Linked DNA regions of Rattus norvegicus. The protein of the gene in region 1 purifies or fractionates together with the protein of each later gene. This does not show direct contact. Links are inferred from orthologs where the notes say so. Each region holds a gene or a part of one and is shown on either strand. Other genes may lie near its edges.

Region 1 (6,041 bases):
GAATATAGACATATACATGACACTTGAAAAGGCTTCGGGGGCTGGAGAGATGGCTCAGTGGTTAGAGCACCAACTGCTCTTCCAGAGGTCCTGAGTTCAATTCCCAACAACCACATGGTGGCTCACAACCATCATGGGATCAGATGCCCTCTTCTGGTGTGTCTGAAGACAATGACAATATATACATACATACATACATACATACATACATACATACATATATATATATATATACACATATATATATTATGTCTTCTTGTTCTTTTAAGTTTTCTTCTCTTTTCTTTCTTTCTTTCTTTTTTTGTTTTTCTAGGCAGGGTTTCTCTGTATAACTCTCCTGGCTGTCTTGGAACTCACTACGTAGATCAGGATGGCCTTGAACTCAGAGATCCACCTACCTCAGCTTTGCAAGGGCGGGATTGAAGGCATTTGCCACCATGGCCTGCTGAAGATTGATTTTTACATATATGCATCTGTGGGTTTGTGAAAGTGAGTGCAGTGGCCTACAGAAGCAGGTCTCTATCGGATTCCCCTGGAGCTGGAGTTACAGGTTACTGTGAGCCCCGGGAAGTTTGTAGAGAACCCAACTCCAGGCCTCTGCAGGAATAGTTTGTGCTCTTAACCACTGAGCCATCCGTCCCGCATGTGCTCCCTATGAAGCATGGTCTCACTTTGTAGCCCAGATTGGCTTGGAGCTCGCTGTATAGCTCAGCGTGGCTTGAGACTTGCAGCAATCCCCTTGCCTCAGCTTCCTGATTACTGGTTGGAATACTAACATCTGGTTTACCCAGTGACTTTGTAGCTGTATTCTGGGCAAGCATCCTCTCTTTGCTAGCTGAGGCCTGAGCATGGGGGAAAAAAATCATGCTCAAAAAAGATCAAAAGGAGACTGTTCTGAAACATGTGTGAAGTATATAAAATTCAAATTTCAGTGCCTACTAGTAAATCTCCATAGCGGCATCCACGTCTATGCTTTGGAATAAATATTGGGGTCCAGAGTGCCTCGTGCTCCTCCCCCACCCATTTCAGAAATACCTGCTGATTCTACTTACTCTAAGGGTTTTGATGCCTGAATCACTGGGTTGGTACACCACGACTCTGAGCATACACCCTTTCCAAGTTCTCATCTTTCCGTATTGGGGATAATAACTACCTTGGCCTGCAATTAACATCAGCATCTAATAAGATCATGCACTTAAACAGTATGGAAACACCCTGTAAGTTCTACGATGAGGAGATAAAGTGATTCGAGGAGAAAACAGAAATCTCGTCCACCCCCTTCCTTTAAAGCTTTCAACTTATGGCTTTCAACTTTTAGAGGGAATTCCCTTTTGGAGTGTTTGCGTTTACTTTTAGAAACTGTTTTATTTACTTATGGGCGAGGGGTTGTTGCCTGTGCCTTGACTCCGGTGTGCAGCTCAGAGGGCGACCTGAGAGAATCCAGAATCGAGTCCTCTCGATTCGCGGGTTTGAACTCAGGTCCTCAAGCTTGGAGGTAGGCCCCTTTACCTGCTGGGCTGTCTCCTGTTCCAGTTCTTATTGATTTATTTTTGAATCAGGGTCTCATTATGTAGTCCTGGCCGGCCTAGAACTTGCTACCTATACCCACGGGCTTCGAACTGATACAGATGCACCTGCTTGTGGAGTGCTGGGATTAAAGGCATGGGCTGCTGGCCCAAGGTTTTATCTTCAAAAGATGACAACGGCACACGTTCCCTCCCTCCCTCCGGCCTTTGTTCTGTGTGCATCCACATTCGATTGCAGTTTCCCATTTTCTTTAGTGTCTTCACCGACCCTCACAACAGCTCAGGGAGGAACTGGGACATGTTTGGTCAATCGGTTTTGCAGGCCGGGCAACTGAGGCAAATCCCGACTGACTGCGGGGCCCTGCCCTTCCTCAGGAGGTAAGAACTTCTCCTCGATGCAGCTCGTTTTATGGCGGGGGCACTAGAACCAGCTTCCTTTTCAGGGTCCCTGGGTCCCCTGCGCTCCACTCCCGCACTCCCCGAAGCAGGTGGTAGGCTCCGGGTCTACTACGCAGGCGCGCGACGCCGTGCAGGGCGTGGCTGGGCGGGCCCGGAGGCGGGGCCGGCGCGCGCGGTGAGGGAGAGCTGGGATTAGGGCCGCGGCGGGAGCCCGAGTCGGCGTCACTCGAGTGCGCAGGCGCCTGGCGGTTACCGGTCTCGCCATGGAGCGGAAAGGTGAGCGGCGGAGCGGCCTCCGCCACGAGGAGACACCGCGGCCCCCGAGTGGGCGCCCGGCGCCTCTTCTGGCCGCAGTCGCGGCCCCCGAAGCGGCGTCACCCTCGCCCGCTCGCCCCTCGGCAGCGCCGTCCTCGGGCGCCCGCCGTCCCCGCCCCTCGTTCCGCAGCCCCCAGGCCGGGGCGGCGAGGCCTCATGGCCCGCCCGAGCCTCTGCGGGCGCGCCGGGCCTGGCAGCCGCCGTGCACTCCGGGCAGCCCGGCCCGCGCTCGGCCGGCACAGCCTCAGGCCCCACCGCCCTGCGTCCTCGCGCCGCTCCCCGCCTCCCTCTTACATCGGCCCTTCATCCTTCTCTCCCGCAGTGCTCGCGCTCCAGGCCCGAAAGAAAAGGACCAAGGCCAAGAAGGACAAAGCCCAAAGGAAGTGAGTCTTGTACCCCAACATCCCGCCCTTTGCGTCTTCTCGGGGACCTCCTCCTCCTCCTACCGGGTCGGGCGCCTCGGAAGCGCACTGGGTTCGGGCCGCTTCCCCCCAACCCCACCCCGCCACATGGCTTCTGAGTCGCTGTGTGATTCGCTCTCCGGGAACCATGTGGAAGGGAGCTGGGTCTCCAGGCCCCGGTCTTAGCAGCTCCCCAGGCCTGCTCAGGAAAGACCCAGAGCCTGCCCGGCACCACTCCCCAACTCCATCGGGGAGGCTCAAGTGTGGGCCGGCGGCCGGAGCTGGTAATCATTACCTGCCTGTGAACTCCTCTCTCCCCGCCTTCTTCCGCAGCGTCTTAACCTTGCCTCCTACGTCTGTCCGCACGCTCTGCCATCAGGAAATTGTTGAATGAATTTTTCCCTGTTTACCCTTGGCCCTGCCAACCACACGTTTGCCTGGGTAGAGGAGGGTGGCCGGCAGTCTTCCTTCGCGCCTGATTAGTCTACTTCCTAAGTCTTCGAGGCGCGGTGTGTCGCTGTCCTCTCGGTTGGGTTGTGCAGGCTGGCTGCGTTGTGCACTACCGGTGGGCGTGTTATCTGAACGGAGTTAGTGCAGTAATGTCGAGAGACAAATTGCTAGTCCATTCTGGCTTGAGCTACACTTGCCAAATTTGTTAGTGATGTTGGGGGTGCCTGCACAAAAGAGAGCACAGCTTGATAGAAACGCACGGGCTGGAGTCTTCAAGTGAGCTTAGCTGCTGCCACCCCTCATCCCCCCCCCCCCCCATTTTTTTTTTGAGACAGCCTTGACTGCCCTGAACTCACTATGTAGACCAGGCTGTCCTCGAACTCGACATCCTCTTGTCTCTGGCTCTGAGAATCCTGGGACTAAGGGACGTGTGCCACCAGTGCAACTGTGGGAGCACTGCCACTGAGCTTAGAGGACAGCTTTAAGGATGATCTTGTACTCAGATTTAGTAGCAGAGGCTCCTCCAGGTCGACTCAGAAAGATCTCTGCCCAGCACTCCATTTCAGATGAATTATTTTCCGTGGTTTTCCATTTATCTGGTATTTTGTGTTGGATGCCATCAAGCTGGGTCTGCACTGCTATACCACACATTGGAGGTCTTCCTAGGTCACCCAGAAAGACAGTACCAGATCGGGCTGAGTGTTTTTGGAGGCTCCCTGATGTTTAGGGAGGCTGTGTCATGACTTCTCTGAGTGGGACCAGAGCATTTCCTGTGGTGTGCCTTAGGAAGTTTTTAAGTTTGCACAAGGTGTGGGGCCGGTGCGAGTGCTCAGGTTCTTGGGTTGGCTATCCATTCACAGACTGTCCAGCACGAGTTTTTAATCCCACACTGATTGGTTAACAAACGGCAGCAGCTGGAATCTCAGCACTCCTTGGGGAAGCCATGCGAATGTTTTATGTTTTCTGGTGGGAAAAGGAAATGATTTACTAATCACTTAAAAAGTTTTTTTTCCCCCTCATATTTTATTTTTGGTTTTTCTCCATGTTCCCTGGCTGTTCTGGAAGTCTCTCTGTGGACTGCCTCTGCCTCGAGTGCTCGGATTGAAGGCCTGCACCGTCACACTTGGTTTAAAGGGGTTTTGAAAAGACGAGCGTCTCACTATGTACAGCCTAAGGTGGTCTTGAACTTGGGGTGATCTTCCTGCGTCAGCCTCTACAATGACAGGATGACTAGTCTTGTGCCATCGTGCCCAGCTGGCTAGTCACCTGTGTTTTGGTCTGTCCTGTGTAAGACATGGCATCTTATTTAGATATGAGGTTGAGCACTGTCATGGGGCAGGAGAATGCAAGTGGATGGTCGCACATGCAGCAGAGGTTCAATATTTCATGTGGTCGAGGGTGAACATGCGGTGTGTGTGCATGGGAATGATGTGTCAGAGGCCAACATTACAAGTTGACTCTGTCCTTCTCTGTGTAGGGTTGAACCTGGGTTCTGGTGGCGAGAATCCTACCCACGGATCCATCTTGCCTGCCGCACATGCTTGTTTCAAAAGCAGACAGACTACCTTAGTGTTGGGTACTCTTATTTCTCTCACTACTGCAGGCAACTTGGAGTTGTCCGTGCTCTTAGTTCTCCCTGTGCTTACCCCTACTTTACTGAATATAATCTTGCCTCCCCCTTGTTTCCCAACCTCTTTTTTTTTTTTTTTTTTTTTTTTAAGATTCATTTATTCTATATAAGTACACTGTAGCTGTCTTCAGACACACCAGAAGAGGACATCGGATCTCTTTACAGATGGTTGTGAGCCACCATGTGGTTGCTGGGAATTGAACTCAGGACCTCTGGAAGAGCAGTCAGTGCTCTTAACCGCTGAGCCATCTCTCCAGCCCCCAACCTCTTCTCAAGTAGTTAAATTGTCTGATTAATTAATTTGGGGATAGTTCTGTGGCAGAAGCCCCACCTGACCTAGGTAATGACTCTGCTCCTGACAACTTTGCTATTTTTCAGGCAGAGGTATAAGCTACCAAGAAGCTGTTAGGAAGCCTGCCATAGTTTGGTCTTCTGAGTAAGGGGGTCTGATTCTGAGATCTGATTGTAGACCGACTTGGACTTACAGGTCTATATTTGAGTCACTCAGCCATAGTGACAAGCAATCAGGACTAAGCAATATAAGAAAATAGTGTTCACATGTACAGGCTTAGAGGTTCTCAAGTGCTCCCCACTATGCAGCCATGGTGTGGCACCGAAGGGCAGGATTGTCCTGATGCTGTGGACTGCCTGTAAACCAGACCCCCAGCACTTGGAGCCGTGGGTCACAGTCAGAGCTGGCGGCTGGGCTCCTGCTCCAGAGCATCGTCCCTTTGGGTCTGTGCTCCAAGGTTAAGGGCAGGTGACCTTGCCTAACCTGAAGGATTCCTTCCCTACCCTACTGTTCTAGAGCTTTCCGTCCATTCTTTCTGATGTTTTTGGGGGTGGGGTGGTCAGGGAGAGATAGGTTCTCTGTAGACCTGGCTGTTCTGGAGTTCACTGTAAATTAGGCTTTCCTTGAACTCAGGCCTGCTTCTGTGCTGGGATTGAAGGTGTGCTCCACCACACCCTAACAGAAAATAGACATTTTCTATTTACTCTCATGTTAACTAGTTGTGTAGTGATCAGTTTTGCTTTAGATGATTAGAGGTCAACTCTTTAGACATCTGTGAAGCTAGGACTGGGACCTGGGTTGGGTGTGCTCTGTAGCCCCATGGCTAGATACCTTGTATTGGGACAAATAAGGAAGGGCCTGAGGGGAAGAGGCTTCTGTGGCCCTTGGTACTTGGTGCTCACCTGTGACCCATTGTGTGAGGAGCGGGATGCAGGGGGTGCAGGCTGCACCTTGCCTGTGAGCATTTGCATTCCAGTGTGCTGCAGGGCCTGAGCCGCCTTCCTCTGCTGTGGGCTGTTGGACTCCAG
Region 2 (6,205 bases), on another chromosome or scaffold:
TTCTATCTTATTTTGGGTTAATTCTCAGAATACTGGTTTAATATTATTAAAAAAAAAAAAACTTATCAGTTAAAACTAGGTCAACATTCTTGAAAAGATCGTTATCAAGTCCTTAAGTGTACTCAAGTACTTGGTCATCAATAACATACCCCCTCCAGGAGCCTTAAACAGTTTACATCACACTGATCAGGGTAATAGAAAATGTGGATCAGGCACACTCGCATTTAAAACCAGAAATATAAACCCAAATTATTCTCTACTACCAGCTGCTGGCTTGCTGTTTCAATAGCATCATCAAAAAGGAAATAACAGTAACAAAAACCCCAAACCCTTCTAGACTTTCAGATGACTAGAATAATTATTGCAAATGTTAGCCGACATCCTGCCCTGTCTCACTGCATGGTTAAGCATAATGTCTACAAATTATTTTGAAATGGCTCAGAGCAACTGTGGAAATTTGTTTTGTTTTGAGACAGGGTCTCACCACAAAATTCTAGGTGGCCTGGTATGCAGATATCTGTCTCTGCCTCTTCCTGAAGGGATGAAGTGTATATACCACCCACAGCTGGTAAGCTTTTTGGTTTTGTAGTCCTGGGTCTGGACTACACACATGCTACCACCAAGCTACACTCAGTCCTTTTTCTTCCCCAAAGATTTATTTATTATGTATAGTGCTCTGCATCCGTGTATGCCTGCAGGCCAGAAGAGGGCACCAGATCTCATTATTGGATCATTAGCCACCATGTGGTTGCTGGGGATTGAACTCAGGACCTCTGGAAGAGCAGTCAGTGCTCTTAACCACTGAGCCATCTCTCCAGCCCCTGAAACATTAATTTTTTTTTTTAAGATTTATTTATTTATTATATATAAGTACACTGTAGCTGTTCAGACACACCAGAAGAGGGCATCAGATCTCATTACAGATGGTTGTGAGCCACCATGTGGTTGCTGGGATTTGAACTCAGGACCTTTGGAAGAGCAGTCAGTGCTCTTAACCGCTGAGCCATCTCTCCAGCCCCCAAAACATTAATTTTAAAGAAGCTATCTTCACGGTAATCAAAGCAAGCACAAGAATAGGAGCACTAGCACAGACAGCTTCACTTACGCATCAATTGTGACTCTAATGCAAGACATTTTTGGGTCCCTTTGTTTGTTATCAGCAGCATTAACTGTAAGAAAATAAAATACACACTTAGAAGGCATTAAAGTGCTTTACAACACACTAGGTCTATAATAAAGAAAAACATTCACAAGTAACAAAAAACAAAACAAAACAAAACCCCAACATTAACACGGCATTAGTTTACAGCAGTTTTTATTGAGACAGAATCACACGCATCTCATGCTGCCTTTGAACTTGCTACGTGGTGAAGAATAACCTTGAACTTTTGAGTTTCCTGCATCTTTCTCCTGGGCATTGGAATTAACACCTTGTTGCTTTAGTATACCAATCTCTGTTCATAGTACTACTTCCAGAGAAAAACTTAACTTTCTGGACTTTATTTGGATTATCTTGGTTTTTTTTTTTTTTGTCTGTTTTCCTTTTTGGCGGTAGGGTCTAAGTGCCTTGAATTCACTACGTAGATCAGCCGACTTTATTCTTTTTTTTTTTTTTCGGAGCTGGGGACCAAACCCAGGACCTTGCACTTGCTAGGCAAGTGCTCTACCACTGAGCTAAATCCCCAACCCCTCAAGCCAATTTTAAATGCAGACATTTGTGCACCTGTACCCCCAAGTGCTAGGATTAAAGACGTGACTGCCACAGGCAGCCTGACTGCCTCACTTTTGACCACTAATTACCTGAAATGACAGGAGCAGAGGCTATGTCTACAGAAGGTTTGGTATGCATGATACCTAGGAACTTAACCAGGAGATCTTTATATAAAAATATTTACTTACCTAGAATTTCATCAAAGATTTTATACAAACCAGGAACAAAAGTGACTTCCCTGTAGTTAATACCAACATCTTCATCGTAAACCCACATTTGCTAGAAAAGGCAAAGAAAGTTATTTTTATTTATTTATTGTTTTGTCATTAATACTCTTGCTTTTTTTTTTTTTTTTTTTTTTTGGAGCTGGGGACGGAACCCAGGGCCTTGCACTTGCTAGGCAAGCACTCTACCGCTGAGCTAAATCCCCAACCCCAATACTCATGCTTTTTCTGAGACAGTGTCTCACTAGTTTTTTTTATTTATTTATTTATTTATTTATTTATTGTTTGACATTAATATTCTTGCCTTTTCTGAGACAATGTCTCACTACGTAGCACTGACTGGCCAGAGACTGGCTACACAAACCAGGCTGGCCTCAAACTCAAGAGATCCATGTGCCTCTAACTCCTGAGTGCTGAGATTAAAGGCCTGCACCAATACATTCAGGAGTAAAGTCTTCTAGAATAAATGTTGAAACACACGCACAGAGTCCGTATCTGCATCAATGAAGGATCAGTTCCAGTGACGCCAAGTAAAGTAAGAAACATTAACCTGACACAGTATGCCGTGTTATAGAGCAAGTGCACTAAGCTAGTTTGGTTTTACCTGGGTCACTAACTCCACAGAGCCGATGTAGGTATCTGGGCGGAGCAGTATATGTTCCAGTTGGGTTTTTTTCTGATAGATTCTTTCAACGGACAGTCTTTTCTTGCCATCTTCATTCTTCTTTTTGTTGAGTAGCATATTTTCATTTACAGGCTAGTCATTTGGGGAAGCAAAAATAAACTGATTTTTACAACCTTATCAGAAGTGGCCAACAAAGTATCTGCAGTTATGATAAAGTCAATACACTGCATCACAATCTGTCCTCTGCTTGTAGGTACCGGGAGAGTTTGCATAGTTTCAAACAAACAATTCAATTAAAATCCTTGGAACTAGGTTCTGTGGTTTGTGTATGTGTGGTGCTGGGGATGGAACCCAAGGCCTTCCTTGCATGCACGTGCTTGGCAAATGCTCTGACCACTGAGCAAACTCCCCAGACCTGCTTCTCAAAACCCCGTTGCTGTTTCTGAGATAGTGTCGCATTAGGTAGCTTAAGCCATCCTCCTGCCTCAGTCTCTGGAGCAGATGCCATTCCAGGCCTGCCCCACTAGGTCTGGCTACAGGTGCCCGTTTAAATAAGTATTTTATTTCAGCCAAGTATGGACATTTCTGCCTTGAATAATATTTTTATGTCATCGATAAACTACACTCAACTTCTTTCATCTAATGGAAAAATGTTTACTGAGTGCCCACACAGTCTCGTGCAGATTGCAGATGGTGGTGTTATCCAGCCGTAGCAGTTGGGATGCTAGGGATGCAAACCCTTGGCCACATTCACATCCTGAAACAGGACTTTTTTGAGCCACTCGGTCAGCCAGCTCCTCAGTGGGAACTGTCATGTTCTGCACCTTCCGTGATGAGTTATTCAAATCAACTAGGGAAGGAAAGTGGGCCATCGAATTCAACTATAAGCCGGTTGGAAGTCACCCTGGGGCTATTAGAATACAGACCGATCACAGGACGAGTTGAACCTGCCCCCACCAACAATAAAAACACGACACTCAAGAACCCAGATTAGATTATCGATATCATTTCGTAAAGAGCTTCACCCTGTCCATGACCCCTCAAGGCCCAGAAGATGGAGTTGACCAGATCCTAGCCCGTCGCCGGCCAGCCCTCGGCCCAGGAGCCTCAACTTTCATCACCCGCCATGAACGCAGAAGCCGCGTAAAGGCTCTACTACCCGGTCCCATCCGCGAGCTGTACCTGCAGCGGTGACAACTCCATGGTGACCGTCCTGAAGGGGCTCGAGAATCCTAAAAGCGACAAAATCAGTGAGAAACGCTAGGCGACCGGCGACTTGGACGCTTCTCCACAGACGTGCGTCGGTTAGGAGAGCTTCCCTAGTTTCATTTGAACATTCATCTAGCCCGCCCAAATCAGAGGAACCAATCACCGACTCGCTCTCATTTGCTCTGTTTACAGCAATCAATCGCAGACGGTCTTTTACTCACAAAGGTCTTTTACTCAACAGGCGGCCTTTTCGAATGAACCAATTAGGTAAAGGGAGGCGGGAGAAACCTCAAGATGGACCAATAGCAATTGTAACTGTGACTGACAGGAAATCTGACCAATGAGGAGGGTCTGTGTGCTCTGAGAGATACTCTGAAGAGAGAAGGCTTTTTGGAAGTGCAAAGCGGTTGACTAAACTGTCCTCCTGAGTAAAACTAGAACACGGATGCGCATTCTTTGTTTCAGATTCGTTGAGATTACAGAGATTCTCTCCTAATCCTGGGATGTGCTTTTCTGCTTTTCTTTTTTTTTTTCTGACCAAGGAAGCAACGCCCATTCTCTCGCGGGGTTGACGAGGGGCAGCGGTTCTCAACCTGTGGGTCGTGACCCCTTTGAGGGGGATCCTATAGAAGATAACTACGCTACAATTCGTCACGGCAGCAAAAATTACAGTGATAAAATAGCAATGGAATGATTATGATAGGACGGCACCACAACATAAGGGAACTGTGTTAAAGGGCTGCAACCTTAGGAAGTGGAAGTTGAGACGCACTGGGTTAGCTCTGGAGAAATTCTGTAAAGTTCTTCCGCTGTGGACTTAGCCTTCCATACAGAAAGAGTAGACACCAAGTAGAATCGTAGACAGCGTTAACATCCCCTGTGGATCACCACTGATAAAAAGATTCATTCGTGCTTCTTCAGTGGAGAAGATGAGAAGCGGTCATGAGACCATAACGTCTCCCTCAGCTGGTGAGGGAACCCACAAGTGTTCTTTATGTTTGCCCTCTGCGCACAATGCAGTCTAGAGCGCTGTTCAGTTTGACATGGGAGGCTGGGGCTTGGTGGGTTCTCGATGGAGAAAGCTTCAATTTCCTGTGCTAAAAACAAACAAACAAACAAACAAACCCAGAAATGATAAATATAAGAAGCTAGTGTGCGACACCACACCTTTAATCCCAGTACTTGGGAGGCAGGAACAGGTGGATCTCAGAGTTTATGGTCAGCCTGGTCTACAGAGTGAGTTCCAGAGCAGCCAGGGCTACATAGAGAAATCCTGTCTCTAACCCCACCACCACCCTAAAAAAAAGCTAGCTATTATCAGCAACGAATTTGGTGAATTAAAATATTTTTCCTTTCCAAAAGAAGCCCGGGGTCAACCATTATTAAATAACTCCACACGTCCAACAATTACCCCACTGGCAAATGAAAGAGAAGGTCAGTGAAGGAATGTGGCCTGGATGATAGGAAAACCAAAGGAATAGAGTTTTGATCTTATTCTGGTCTTTCTCTTTCTCTTCAGTGTTTTCAGCCTTATCCTGTGTGTTAATAAAGGAGGCTGACTTCAATGCTTAGGGCCAGTAGGGACTCAGCAATTAGGACTTCTGTCCAGTCGGAAGACCGACAAGGCTGTGGGTGCCACATCCAGGGTTGTCATTCTCTGCAGCTTTCCTTGATATTCAGAAGCCAGGCAAGCTACCTTTACCTCTCTTGGAGCACAGAAGCCAGGTGGCTATGCTTCTCAAGGAGGCCCTTTCACTCCTGTCCTCTGTCCTGTAGTTCATCCCAGCTCGAAGCCTGCAGGCTCCACCTGGAGATGAGGCCACAGGAATTCAGTTCCCACAGGAAGCAGTTTCAATCCTGTTTTCTGGGACAGCTTCAGTGGAGATGAGAGGCATGAGCTTTAAAGTCTCCCCACAAGTTCAACTGGATCATGATTTTTGGTCTTTTCTAAATCTCAGAAGGCAGAGTCACTCCTCCCACCCCTGCAGGCCTCAGGTATCCCAAACTGGACCTGAAACCTGCTGTGTCCAAGGATGCTCTTGAACCTCTGACTGATTCTTTCCCTTCTGCCTCCTAAGGGTTAAGGCTAGGGGCTGGAGAGATGGCTCAGTGGTTAAGAGTACTTGTTGCTCTTCCAGAGGTCCTGAGTTCAATTCCCAGCAACCACATGGTGGCTCACAACCATCTGTAATGGGATCTGATGCCCTCTTCTGGTGTGCATGAAGACAGCTACAGCGTACTTCTATATAATAAATAAATAAACCTTAAAAAAAAAAAGTGCAGTGCTCAGGATCAAATACAGGGCTTCATGCATACTAGGCAACCACTCCACTAACCAGCCCCCAAATAACTTCTGCCTCAGCCCCCTCCCCACATGACGTTACCCATTGTTAAAGGTACATGGAGCTAAATGGGATATGGGGGCACTTAGTGTTA
Region 3 (6,195 bases), on another chromosome or scaffold:
GTAAAGAATGGCTACTTTTTTGCCCTTGTCTGAAGAGTCTGCCTGAGGCCAACGTGAAGAAACTCAAGATTAATTGCACTGACAATGGAAGTCTCAGAAACGCCCATCATAGACTTTGTTCTCTGGTTAAGTGTCATGAAGAGCATTTTAAACAAGTATAGCAAGCTAAGAAAGGAATAACAGTGCTAGGAGGAGTGATAAATACAAATTACCATGGGGAAATTGGATTGCCTCTCCACAGTGGAGATAAGAAGGATTATGTCTGGAGTGCAGAAGATCCCTTAGGACGTCTCTTAGTCACATCCTGTGATTAAAGTCAATAGGAAACTACAACAGCCTAATCCAGGCAGGCATGGTACAGGAGGAGTTAAGAGTTCTACATCTTCAGCTGGGGATTTAGCTCAGTGGTAGAGCGCTCACCTAGGAAGCTCGAGGCCCTGGGTTCGGTCCCCAGCTCCGGAAAAAAAAAAAAAAAAAAAAAAAAAAAGAAAAGCACCAGGATAATTGTGTGCTTATAAAAAAAAAAAAAAAAAAAAAAAAAAAAGGGCTGGGGATTTAGCTCAGTGGTAGAGCGCTTACCTAGGAAGCACAAGGCCCTGGGTTCGGTCCCCAGCTCCAGAAAAAAAGAAGCAAAAAAAAAAAAAAAAAAAGAGTTCTACATCTTCATCTGAAAGCTGTTAGTAGAATACTGGCTTCTATGAAGCTAGGACTAGGGTATTAAAGCCCACGCCCACAGTAACACGCCTACTCCAACAAGGCCATACCTACTCCAACAAGGCCACACCTCCAAACACTGGCATTCCCTGGGCTAAGCATATATAAACCATCACAGTAACTACAAAAAAGGTCTGTAAGCTAATCTAACAAAATCTTTTTATGAAATGAAAGAGATTCATTCTATAAATTCTCTAACTCTAGAGAACCCTGAATAATACACCCGCTCTTATAACACTCTGCGTGGCTTCTTAGCAGGTCCTGCAAGCGTCACAGTCCACCAATAATTATGTAGGTCTACCTTCAATGCCTATGTGACATCAAGAACTGCAAGCTCGATCAGGGGAGGCCTCTAGGATGTTTCATTGACTCTTCTGGTCTGGCTCCTAGCCCTCCACAAAAATCTCTTAACAAGTGATGACCACAGATAACAGAATGAACACAGTCCCTGCCCTTCCCCTGTATCTGAAACTTTCCCATCCTCTCTGGCCCACTACCTTCCCCCTCTCCTCTACTCTCTCGAAACTGCCATTTCCAGCATCCCACTTACCACGTATTGCCTTGCATCTCGAGGTACACTGTAGATAAGCTACATCTTCCGCTCACAATGTAAGTTCTACAAGACAGAAAAGGTTTAAACACATTTCCAAAAGTGCCAGTGCTTAAAAAAAGTGGGGGAGGGGTATGGAGGGGGTTGTCTTGGTTTACGATTATCAGTGATTTTAAATCCTCTAATGCTCTTAGTCTCTTACCAAATCAGGAGCATACTGAGCTATGGTCGATTTTCCAAGCAAATTGCTGTCCTTGTTAGTTGGGCAGCTGTGCTAACCCAAAACTAGCCATTGCTAAGGTTTGGTAGAAGATTGAAGGAAAGACTTCCTCCATCCTCCACAGACAGAATTCCCTTCACTGTAATATAAAGTAGGCATAAAGCTAACCCAAAAACCCCAGTGAAACCTGAGTCTAATTCAAATAGAGCCACAACCTGACTAAGAAACAACCACCATTCTTTACTTTCATCCTCAGCTCTTCCCACAGAACACTGCAAACACGAATGAACTTACACACACACACACACACACACACACACACACACACACCACACAAGGCTATCCCAGAACTGGGGAGGCAGAAACAGGCAGATCTCTGTGAGTGCAAAGCCAGCCTGGTCTACAGAGCTGGAGCTCTAGGACGCTCAAGGTTTAATGTAGAAACATCTTTCTAGGGGCTGGAGAACAGCTCAGCAGTGGAGAGCACTTGCTGCTCTTGCAGAGCTCAGTTTCCAGCACCCATGCTGGGTGACTCACAGCTGTCAGGAGATCCAGTGCCCTCTTCCAGCCTCTGGAGGTACCTGCACACAAGTATACATACAAATATGTAGGCTAGTGGCTCTCAACCTCCCTATTGCTATGACCCTTTAGGACAGTCCCTCATGTTCTGGTGACCCCCCCCCCAAACAACCATAAAGTTATTTCATTGCTACTTCATGACTGTAATTTTGCTACTGTTATGAATCGTAATGTAAATATGTGATAGGCAGGACATCTAATATGAAACTGCTGTGACTTCCCATTGATAGCCAGCCATTGTTGGATTAGGTGGATCACAGCGTGCAAGTCATTCTAATAAATCCCCTTTCTATACATGTAGATTCATTCTGTCAGTTCTTTCTGTAAGTTCTTTAACTCTAGAGAAGTTACAAACACACACACACACACACACAAACATACACACACACAAAAATAAAATTTTTAAAAATGTTTGTCTCTATCAAACTTACATATATATATATATACACATATATATATATACATATATATATATATATATGAGCTCTATCAATTACTGCTTAATAAACAATAGCTACCAAATAATAGGATCAATGATTGCTCCTTGGGATTTGAGGCCCTACAGAAACTGAACCCAATCTCTCCCGGGCTATCATCTTACTTCCTTCTCCACAAAGTCCCTGTCAGCCCATAGTTTCTGGATCACTTAACATACCAAGCACTATCATAAAACTTTTTCGCTTCCATTCTCCCTAACTTGTCCAATGAATTCCTAACCATCCACCAACCTCTTCTTGTGAAGAACTCCTGACTTCCTTTGGGAACTCAATCTCATCCCTTCTAGGTTGCTACTACTTAGTGTATACTCACTTCTTTTAGGGAACTTACCAGAATCTGCTGTATGTGACAGTCACGTGTGCCCATGGTGAACTCCTCCAGCATTTACTAGATCCTTGAAATCATGCGCTCATTCAGTCATTCCTGCATCCTTCACAGCCTCTGCACACAGTAAACGGCAGGCAAGTTTTAATCTCCCTCATTGGGTATGTCTCTAAATCACTAAGTTTACATTTTCATTCTATTCCTCCCACAAATACACATTTTCAAAACTACCTGGGAAGCAGACATATTCGGAAGCAGACATATTCACTGACTCCATCACTTACTGAGACAGCATATGTGGGACACTGTCCCAAACTCTGTAGACTCAAAGATGGGTAAGGCGCACAAGCCTGCTGAGTTCAAGGATCGCAAAATCCACATACAAATGTTTATATAATAATAATAATAATAACAACAACACAACATGTCCCAAACACTTTAAAAGGAAAAATGCAATGTGATAAATACAAGAAAATAAGGATGTAGAGAGTCCAGGAGAACAAAAAGGACTGAACTGAAGCTAGAGTTGGACAACAGTCAGGGGAATTAACACCTCTCCACAGTGTAAAAACGGAACGGCATACTCCGTTAGAAAAGCTAGACAATACTGTACCACTCACTGTACTGTGGATGCAAAGTTTAACTCAAGTCAGTGAGTTAATGCAAGTGGGAAATACCTATTCCTGGGAATGCCCTTTGAAAGCAGGGAAACCGAGGGAGCTATTCTGAACAGTTTACTTGTCCAGGACCGGCGATCGACACACGAGGGTTGCAAGGTGTGTCTAGAAGTCGCTGAAACCCCGCACTTTCCCCAGGCTGAACCTGCAGCCCGGCCTCCTGCAGGACGATGAGCAACTGCATGTAGTCTAGTTTGCATCTCCCGCCAGCCTGCGGGGTTAAGTGCCAGACTCCGGGACTCGCCTCCCACTGGAGCCCGGGCCGCCCCGCGCCTACACCACCGCTTGTGCTCCACAAATAGATGAAAGGCATCCCATCCCGCTGCTCCACATCAACGGGATCTGTATCTCTTTCGCCCTGGAGGCAGATCTGCCCCGAAGCTGCCAGACCCAAGCTCCCAGGATCGTTTCGCTCAGTCCCGGACTCCATTTAAATCCCGACCCTCGATTCTCGTTCTCCGAACGCCCATCACGCGCCCCGGTTTACCTACAGATAGTACCGAGGTCGCCGCCATCAAAGCCCAGCCTGGTTACTATAACAGCCTCCACGGCAGAGGCGCCACCCCGCGCCTCCGGAACAGGAAACCCCGGGAATTAAAAAGCAAAGCCGAGAAAGCTGGGCCTGGGGAGGGAAAACTCTCCGGAGCGCGTCGCAGCACCTTTTGTGCTGTGATTGGTAGATCAGAGAGAGTGACGGACGTCTAGTCCAATCGACAATGTCTACAGGTCTCACACACGCCCCTCCACCTTGTTGTCCTCCAATCCGGAAGCGCAACCGGGTGAGCGCGCGTTTCCGCCGCTAATGGACCGTGGGGCGCGCGGCTTGGAGGTGCTGGGCTCCTCTCCCGGGTGTCTCAGAGTCACCGCGGCCTCGGTCGCGCGGAGACATGAGTGACACGGGAGGCGACGGCGCGCGCCTCAGGCGCTATCCCAGGCTCCCGGTGTGGGTAGTGGAGGATCACCAGGAGGTGAGCGGGCGACGCAAGCCACCGAGCCCTGGCAGGAGGGATTCGAACCCCGGCAGCCTGCAGAGACTTGACCAGCACCTAACGCTGGCGCAGCCTGTCCCCCTGCCGACGTCATCATCCTACCGTTTAACGAGGTTACCTACGACCTGAACCCGCGGCGGTGAAATGGGTCCCCAATAATCGTAGAATGTATTATAGGGCTGTCGCTGAAGACGTAAGCCTTAGCGTTTATTAACGTTTTATATGGCAGTGCTTCAGTAGACTTCTGGAAGACAACCAAGCAAGTCTAGATTTGTTTATGGACCTGTGGAGAGTCTCTGGATATAAAACAAAGGGGATCTAGAGTGAACGAAGCTCAGTGGTACAGTGCTGGCCGCAGATCTTGGGTTCAACCCCTGTCCCCAGGAAAAAGTGGGAGAAGGTTATTTACTGATGGAGAAAGTTGGAAAGAAGGTCTATCTCTGAGAAACTCAACTTTGGGTTAGTCTGGCTTTTAAATTTGGTAGTAAACTTGGATGTATAGCGAGTAAGAGGAAAAAGTCATCTAGTCTAGCACCACCATCCTAAAGGGACAGAAAATGCCCAGGTACCTGGAACACAGTTTAATACTAGAGTACGTGGTTCTGGACTGTTGGGTGATAAAGATGGAGATTATCGTCAGAACCATCTACCATTTTTGTATTTTCCCACTTCAGCAACTTGGTGCACTTCAAGTTGATGCAGTTTTTTCTTTTGTTTTGTCTGCACTTGACAAGTGTGTATGCGTCTGTCTCTGTTACAGGTTCTGCCTTTCATATACCGGGCCATAGGTTCGAAGCATCTTCCTGACAGTAATATACGTTTTTTACACTTTGACTCCCACCCAGACCTCCTTATTCCTGTGAATATGCCGGCAGACACTGTGTTTGATAAAGAAGCACTCTTTGGGTAACATTTTTTTTTATCATATTTTATGTATTTGAAATACAACGTATAACATGATAAACAATAGATTCTGCTACACTCATGTTTGGGTTTTTTATTTGTTTTTGTTTGTTTGCCCTTTTAAATTTTAGTTAGAACATTTTTTTTAACTAACTAAAAGAGCCAAAATAAGGATCGAGTGCAGTGGCTGAAACCTGTGATCCCAGCCCTTGGAATGCTGAGGCAGAAGAATTACAGTTTGATGAGAGCCAGGGCTACATTGTAGCCTCTTTATGGTTAAGTGTTGTCAATATTCTTGACAGAAGTCTAGATTCTTGGCAGAATCTAGAATTCTCTGAGAAGTGGCTACAGGGCTTGCCTGTGAGGGATTATCTTGATTGGATTAATAAAGGCCACTCCCTAGGCATTCCTATATGTGAGTCTATGGGTCCATTTTCATTCAACCACCACACATTCCTACCCTTGATAACCAATATCTTAGTGTATCTGGCTATGTTTGTGTGTCCACTTGACATAAGCTGGAGTTATCACAGAGAAAGGAGCCTCCCTTGAAGAAATGCCTCTGTGAGATCCAGCTATAAGGCATTTTCTCAATTAGTGATCAAGGGTGGAAGGGCCCATTGTGGGTGGTGCCATCCCTGGGCTGGTAGTCTATACCCAAGTTCTATAAGAAAGCAAACTGAGCAAGCCAGTAAGTTATATCCCTCCATGGCCTCTGCATCAGCTCCTGCTTCCTGCCCT

What was found.
Region 2: the proteins of Srpk1 (region 1) and Top2a fractionate together in Homo sapiens (co-fractionation; 3 studies listed by BioGRID and IntAct, with this or other methods). This does not show direct contact. The link is inferred for Rattus norvegicus from reciprocal best matches to the Homo sapiens genes SRPK1 and TOP2A.
Region 3: the proteins of Srpk1 (region 1) and Drosha purify together in Homo sapiens (affinity purification with mass spectrometry; 3 studies listed by BioGRID and IntAct, counting the BioPlex papers as one, with this or other methods). This does not show direct contact. The link is inferred for Rattus norvegicus from reciprocal best matches to the Homo sapiens genes SRPK1 and DROSHA.

What each region holds. Positions count from the first base shown.
Region 1 is NC_086038.1:6,679,906-6,685,946, reverse strand, and holds the start of Srpk1 (SRSF protein kinase 1), read left to right. Parts: upstream 1-2,111; 5' UTR 2,112-2,188; coding exon 2,189-2,201; intron 2,202-2,562; coding exon 2,563-2,623; intron 2,624-2,936; exon of another isoform or gene 2,937-3,159; intron 3,160-6,041. UniProt on the Homo sapiens protein: Serine/arginine-rich protein-specific kinase which specifically phosphorylates its substrates at serine residues located in regions rich in arginine/serine dipeptides, known as RS domains and is involved in the phosphorylation of SR splicing factors and the regulation of splicing.
Region 2 is NC_086028.1:84,469,222-84,475,426, forward strand, and holds the start of Top2a (DNA topoisomerase 2-alpha), read right to left. Parts: upstream 3,873-6,205; 5' UTR 3,764-3,872; coding exon 3,743-3,763; intron 2,693-3,742; coding exon 2,540-2,692; intron 1,991-2,539; coding exon 1,900-1,990; intron 1,170-1,899; coding exon 1,106-1,169; intron 1-1,105. UniProt on the Homo sapiens protein: Key decatenating enzyme that alters DNA topology by binding to two double-stranded DNA molecules, generating a double-stranded break in one of the strands, passing the intact strand through the broken strand, and religating the broken strand.
Region 3 is NC_086020.1:63,589,909-63,596,103, reverse strand, and holds the start of Drosha (ribonuclease 3), read right to left. Parts: upstream 4,127-6,195; 5' UTR 4,054-4,126; exon of another isoform or gene 4,050-4,053; intron 3,003-4,049; 5' UTR 2,892-3,002; intron 2,066-2,891; exon of another isoform or gene 2,022-2,065; intron 1,331-2,021; 5' UTR 1,282-1,330; coding exon 1,265-1,281; intron 1-1,264. Other genes in the region: C2h5orf22 (UPF0489 protein C5orf22 homolog), read left to right, coding at 4,450-4,530, 5,312-5,457. UniProt on the Homo sapiens protein: Ribonuclease III double-stranded (ds) RNA-specific endoribonuclease that is involved in the initial step of microRNA (miRNA) biogenesis.